Linked DNA regions of Oreochromis niloticus. The protein of the gene in region 1 binds, or shares a complex with, the protein of each later gene. Links are inferred from orthologs where the notes say so. Each region holds a gene or a part of one and is shown on either strand. Other genes may lie near its edges.

Evidence for each region. Proteins that work in one complex are often made in the same cells at the same time.
Region 2: gtf2e2 (region 1) and polr2j share a complex: the UniProt entries of both Homo sapiens proteins name them as parts of the TBP-based Pol II pre-initiation complex. The link is inferred for Oreochromis niloticus from reciprocal best matches to the Homo sapiens genes GTF2E2 and POLR2J.

The regions. Positions count from the first base shown.
Region 1 is NC_031971.2:23,287,329-23,291,082, reverse strand, and holds the start of gtf2e2 (transcription initiation factor IIE subunit beta), read left to right. Parts: upstream 1-1,594; 5' UTR 1,595-1,794; intron 1,795-2,060; exon of another isoform or gene 2,061-2,225; intron 2,226-2,348; 5' UTR 2,349-2,349; coding exon 2,350-2,509; intron 2,510-3,754. UniProt on the Homo sapiens protein: Recruits TFIIH to the initiation complex and stimulates the RNA polymerase II C-terminal domain kinase and DNA-dependent ATPase activities of TFIIH. Both TFIIH and TFIIE are required for promoter clearance by RNA polymerase.
Region 2 is NC_031970.2:1,176,649-1,180,120, reverse strand, and holds polr2j (DNA-directed RNA polymerase II subunit RPB11-a), read right to left. Parts: upstream 2,352-3,472; 5' UTR 2,296-2,351; coding exon 2,153-2,295; intron 1,630-2,152; coding exon 1,521-1,629; intron 725-1,520; coding exon 623-724; 3' UTR 540-622; downstream 1-539. UniProt on the Homo sapiens protein: Core component of RNA polymerase II (Pol II), a DNA-dependent RNA polymerase which synthesizes mRNA precursors and many functional non-coding RNAs using the four ribonucleoside triphosphates as substrates.

The sequences.
Region 1 (3,754 bases):
AAATTATAACTCAGTTGTGGCCACAGGCATAAAAAATAGTCAGCTTTGTTGCAATAACAATGGAGGTAAAGTGCTGCAAACAGTCATTTTTTAACTCCTGGATTGTTTTCCTCTTTTAAATTAATCCCTGAAAAACTAAAAGGCCACAGAATGTGTTTAAGCACAGCAGATGCCAAGATGTTTATCGCTACTGTTGTTATGTTTTGGGTAACATTTTCTCCATACTGAATTAAAGAATCGCGATCAGAATATTTCATTACCCCAGGTGGAAATGGTTTTGTTACAGACATTCACTTAAAGTGTTATATTAAATTAAAGTTAAATACTCCAAAGTTAAAACAATGAATCATACAGTATAGACAAGATATTACAAGTGTAAATAATACAGGTGTCATAAGGAGGTGCCCTAAAGTTTGATGGTCACAGGTAGGAATGACTTCCTGTGGTGTTCTGTGGTGCGTTATGGTTGAACCTGTTCCTGTGATTCCCCACGACAAGATGAAGATGGTACAAAGTCCAGTCTAATATTCACTGTAACTCAGAAAGGATCCTCCTTTCTAAAGCGTCTGTCACAGAGTCAGTTCTGGACCCACAATATCACTGGCCTTTTAAATCGGTTTATCGAGTCTGTTGTTATCTGCACCCCAGCACGCCACAGCACAGAGGATGGCACCGGCAATGAGGGGATCATAAAACATCCTCTGTAGCTTGTTTGTTTTGACATATATGTAATGCCATTAAAAGGTAGGCAGCGCTTTTCTTTCAGTTTGATGCTGTTTTTCTTACTAATTACTTGAGTCATTCACACTGAATAACGTATAAAGGCAGTATCTTAAGTATGAGAAGCAGGAGTTTAAAACAACCACTAAGTGGCGATGCTGAGCCAATAATCTCGTCCCAAAATAACAAGAAGTCCAATGATTTAAAATAAATAAATAAATAAATTACACAAAACACACTCAAAAACAAAGTAAAGTAATCATATCCTGTTTTGCTTTTTATTTTTTAATCAGAACTGAAGAACAGAAGAAGTAAAATAAAAGACTTTAATTTGTCTATGTAAAACAAAAAACTTATTTGTGACACATAAATTTAGATTTGGTGTATATTAGGCGATAGCATATTGGTTATATGAACCCAATTTACAAATAGACTAGCAGTTTTATATGAAAGTTTATTTAACTCCCATTTTTAATGAACTATCATGCAGTGGGATCTGTGAGCTAGAAATAATTATGTTGATATATATTTTTATGGCTTGTCCTGTTTAGCGTTTCAGTAGTTAATAAGAATATTGATGTGACAGTTAGTATAAATCCTGAGTAGTACTATAGTAAAATAGCATAAAGGTGAGACCAAACGTTTGCACAAACAAAAATTACTGCGTGATCTTTTTTCTTTTATATTTTTTCTTTTATAGTTTATTAAAAATGTGTAAATTGATGTGATTTTGTGGTGGATTAAAAAAGCCATTTAATAGAAGTTATATTTCGAAAATTTTTGTCATCAGTATTTTCTAATCGTGCTTTTATTCATCATAAATCATCGTTTTGTTGTACGTATGTAATGACGTCATGCAGGCTTCGCAGTCAATACCGGAAAAATCGAACTAGAAACGGAAGTGCAGCATGAGGAAAATTGTGTGTGAAGTTTACTTGTGTTGTCTCTGAAGGAACGACAAAAAAAACAGTGATTCGGTGGAGGGCGCATTCTGTTTTACATCTACAGCATATAGTTAGTCCTCTTGGACTAACCCTCTTCTTTCTCTGAGTGAGAACAGGAACAAAGTGTCAGGTAAAGTTGAATTAATCGGGATGCTAACGCTAGGTTAACTACCAAGCTTCTGGTACAGTGTTTCGCCACGTTTGTTTATGTATCTTGGTTTCCCCATAATACTCAGTAACGTTCGCTTCTGAACATAACCTTAGTTGTAGTTACTATGGAATTTACATGATCACAAAGTCAACTTAAACCCGTCTGTAATCGGATTTGAAAATAAACTAGCTATTGTTAGCTAGCTTTATATTTATGGTTCTGGGGCCAGTGACTGTTTTCCCTCTAACGCCATTTAATTCTGTATTTGGCTGTCTGACTTTTCAGCTTAGTTTTTCTTAATATATCAGTTATTTTGTTGGTATCAGGAAAAACCCGTTTCGTAATGGCTTATTACAAAAAGATAAAGCAGGTGACAGCTCTTAAGTCCCTGAAGCTAAAGGCCATCAAAGGTTCTTGCTACTTACACGTATACTTACATATATTAAGAATGTGATTCCTTGAATCCATCAAAATGAGCTTTGTTGCTTTGCCTTTTGTTAAATGAATCTTCATTTTTTACATCTTTCAAACAGGATGGATCCTGCTCTACTGAGAGAAAGGGAGCTTTTTAAGAAAAGGGCACTTTCCACCCCAACTGTAGAGAAGAGACAGGCTGCGTCAGACTCTGGATCACACAAAAAGAAGAAACCCAAAGTTGACAAGGAGAGCTCCTCTAGTTCCAAACTCAGTAGCGGTAGGTGAAGAATATTTTCTTGAAAAGGATGATGTTTAGTGCTGTAAACCACTTATTCTTGTTTATTAGTGTTTTAATGTCTCTTAATGTCAGTGCGCCCCAGGGTGGCTGTGGCTACAATGTAGCTTGCCATCACCAGTGCGTGAATGTGTGTGTGAATGGGTGGATGACTGGATGTGTAAAGCACTTTGGGGTCCTTAGGGACTAGTAAAAAGTGCTATACAAATACAGGCCATTTACTATTTAATGTCTCTATAGGTTCACATCACCACTAGCCTTTTCAGCTAGTGATGCTGAAAAGGCTAGCATCTGTAGATATATGTTGGCAAGTAGGAGATGCATCGACTGACTGGCCAGGGACTGGATTCTGCAGATTTCCAGTGCTTAGCCCCGGCCAGTGACTGGCCAGTCAGTCTCCCATATAACGGATTGTATAGCGGTGTAGGCAAATATTCACATGCACTCTCACAGCCTGACATGGTGTTAGTGTGGAAGCTTCTCATTGTGAGTGAAGAGACAAAGTTCACCAAAGTACACTGTAGGGCAGGGGTGGGCAACTCCAGGCCTCGAGGGCCGGTGTCCCTGCAGGTTTTAGATGTGTCCTTGAACCAACACAGCTGATTTAAATGGCTAAATTAGCTCCTCAACATGTCCTGAAGTTCTCCAGAGGCCTGGTAACGAACTCATCATGTGATTCAGGTGTGTTGACCTACGGTGAGATCTAAAAACTGCAGGACACCGGCCCTCGGGGCCTGGAATTGCCCACCCCTGCTGTAGGGGTACCAGCGAGAAAACCTTCATAAACAAGAAATCTAATTAGACATTTAAATATGAAAAGGGAATGTGGCTAACGCTAAAGTTTCACAAAGCTCAGAGCCAGACACAAATGAGCATCCTCAGTATGGCTTAAAGCAACTATGAGGGAAAATTATGGAGACGAGTGAATAAAAAAAAAAACTAAAAACGTTTTCTATTGATTATTTGAAGATCACCTTATTTTCTGTTGTTTCAGAAAATCCTGTAACTTAATACAGTTTGGGGAAAGAAACATTAATAATTTCTTTAATGGAAAACATATTTTTAAATGAAGAAAAGTAGATTTTTGTTTATCTGTGCCATTAATCACAGTTCTTAGAAAATCAGAATCTATTCGCAGCATAAGAGGCTTATTCTGTACAATATGATTGCTCATATTTGGACACCAAAACAATTTTCATAAAGACTTGATAGTAAATTGAGAATCCA
Region 2 (3,472 bases), on another chromosome or scaffold:
AAGTATAAATACAATTGACCTAAAAAGTAAATAAATAAAACCCAAGTGGGAAGAGTTGGACTTTTTCTATGAAAACATATTTAATGAATCATTTTCATAACTGGAACGCAAATATAAATTATAAACTGGTAAACTCAGTATGAACAGGAGCTTTTTTTTTTTGGCAAATATTTTTATTAATAAAAAGAAAACAACACAGTACTTGCACTTACCGAAATACAATTAACCTTTCTTCATTTTCCTAACTAAATATACTTATATATGAAAAAAACTGAACCGGAGCTTTAAGCTTTGAGGTAATCAGGTCACTGCACAGCAGGTTTGTGATGTAGATGAAGAAAAAGCTGTTTTTGTAAGGGTGATAATGATCAGAGTATTTCTTCTCTCTATTATTGTTTGCAAACAAATAATTTGTGCTAAGTTCTGTCTAATGATCTGTTAAAACAAACACAGGAAAATGTTGACCAGCACTTTAAACTTCAATCAGCTGCAAGCAGCCACCGCCTGAGCTACAGGTATGTCACACACACTCATCAGGATATGGCATCACAGGCTTTATTTAAAAAAAACAGAAGACAAACAGAGGACAGGTAACTGGAAGTGACATCACGATGGGGCGGGGTCACTCTATGCCTTCCTGTTTGTCTTTGATGGCGACTCTGAAGCGTTCCTCCAGCAGTGACAGCTCGCTGATCAGGTCAGTGATAGCGTTCGTGAACGCTTCCTGTCAGGAACAACATCATTTCCTGTCATTTAATTTCACTTCCTGTAACTAAGAGCTGTAATCAGAAGTGTGTTCCAGGAAACAGGTTTAGTTTAACCCTGAGATGAGGGAAACTTGGGTTTTCTGTTCCAGAAGGTCAGTTACCATGGTAACACTCTTATTATAATCAATCACTCTGATGGATAAATGGATCTTATTTGAGTGACGTTCAGGCTGAGATGGCTTTAAAACTAAAGCTGAACTAAATGTGTTTAAAGTCACTGCAGACAGTCTGATTGTAATCTGATTACATTTCACATTGAAATGTAATCAGATTGAGGTTCGGTCATTTAAAGTCAAACAGCCTGGGCAGATTTTCCACTGAACATCACCTGAATCAGCCTCTGCGGGTCGACCCAGAACCAGATCAGCCAGAACATGGGCTCCATGACGGATCAGCAAACCGAGTCCACTTGCACGGCAGGACGGATCCAAAATGGATTTTCGATCACGGATTCAGATCGGCTCAATCCCAGATCCAGGTCTGCTCGGTCATTTCCCAGCTGATCCCGTCTGGATCCGTTTGCAGCTCTGCTCTGATCTCTATTCCTGATTTAAAATGTGTCATTCTTCCAAAACTATCCTGAAATATCCTGATCCTGTAGAAGCTGAGACGTCTGTAATAGGTACGCATGCACATAACTCAGTGGGAACACACTCAGAGCTGAATGAACTAACTGATCACCCTTCTGGAACAGGAAACTCAGAGTCTGATGAACATACTTCCTGGAATATCCCACAGGTGTGTGCGTGTTACCTGTGGGCTGTAGTCAGGTGTGGTCTGCACTCTGATGACGATCTTGTGCTCCAGAGGATGAGGAACTTTATAACCAGCAAACAGAACCTGAGGGTCCTTCAGCAGCTGACTGACCACACACACACACAGAGAAAGTCATTTGATTGGTGGACAGACTGTAAGGATGAGCAGTTTAGTGTGAATGGTGTGTGTGCAGCTCACATGACAGTCTGACGGAAGAATATTTGAGGATCAGTTCATTAACTTTGCTGATTTTATGATCAGGCACTGGGACAGCCACCTGTGGTGGCTTACACTAAGACCTGTTTCCCATCAGCAGCATGTCATGATTTATTAAAAAACAAAAAGCAAGTAGAGATCAAATATTCCAAGACTATGTTCTGGTTTTCTGTAAAACACCTCCTACGCTACCTGTAAGATTGAAACACCTGCAGGCTGCGTGTTAGCATCTATCTCTGAGCCGCTGCTCAGCATTTGTGTGGCTGTTAGCCTCAACTTAGCCAGCTGTGAAGCCGGGTCTGGGACCCTTACGCTCGGATGACTTTAGCGGGCTGTTGTTAGCCTGAGGTTAGCCTGTTGTTAGCCTGGATGTAGCGGTGTGATGCCTTTGCGGCCGTGTCTCGGGGCCTTACGCTCGGATGATGTTGCCCAGCGTGTGGTCCTCCTTGTTCAGGGTGAACAGGCAGGCGTTCGGGACTTTGGTGTCCTTGCTGATGCTGATCTTTTTCTCCCCTTCGAACAGCAGGAACGACTCGAAAGCGGGAGGCGCGTTCATCTTACCTGTTCACTGCTGCTGCGGCTGCTTCTTCTTCTTCTTCTTCTGTATAGGGTTTATTGGCGGTTGGCAAACAACTGAATGGTGCATTACCGCCTCCAACTGGTGTGGAGTGGGGACTGGAACGTCGCTCAAAAAACCCCCCAAACCCCTCAAATGCTCCCAAGCAATTTACTCTCTTTTAAAAACTGGGATAAGGCCTGATAACTTTCACTTCTCGAGTCCTTTTGCAGAAAATCAATAAGAACTAGTTTCATTTTCATATTGCTGAGGTTTTGGGTCAGTTGTCTTCTCTCCACCTGATACTTCTGACAGTCTAATATAACATGTTCTATCGTTTCCTCTTCTCCACAGTCGTCACAATTCCCTGTATTATGTTTCCCTATCATGACTAGTGTAGTGTTCAAACCAGTATGTTCTAATCTTATTCTCGATATGGCCACCTCCTCTTTCCTACTCCTTTCTGTGCTCCTCATTTCTCCTACCCTCCTTTGGATTTTATCCAACCACCGTCCCCTCTTTTCCTCCTCCCACTGTTTTTGCCATCTTTTTTTTGTTTCTTGCCTTACCATACTCTTTACCTCTGTCTGACAGAAGCTAATACCCAGGTCAACTACCCCATGTTTTGTGGCTTCCTTTGCAGCTCTATCTGCCATTTCATTTGCTCTGACTTCACAGTGAGCTGGAATCCATAAAAACACACCTGTAAGTCTCGTCATGTGTATTCTGTGAAGTGTTGCTGAATCTCTGCTAGGACATGTGCTCTGCTTTCTGAGCAGCTACTCTGTAAACTGACCAATGACGAGCCTGAGTCTGAACAAATAACTGCTTTTAACGGTTTCATGTCTTCTGCCCATTGAACAGCTAACAGTATTCAAGAGCAGCCTGTGAGGTCCTGCACACTGTAACCAGCAGACTCCAAACACAGCACCCTCAGGCCCTTTTCCTGATCTGTGGGGACTTTAATCACATCTCCCTGTCCTCCACTCTCCCCACCTTCATCCAGTATGTTACCTGCCATACCAGAGACAATAAAACATTGGACTTATTGTATGCCAACACCAAGGAGGCATACAACTCATCACCTCTCCCTCCCCTGGGGGGCTCAGATCACAACCTGGTTCATCTCCAGCCTGCGTATAAACCTCTAGTACAAAGAGAACCAGTTGTGAAACGC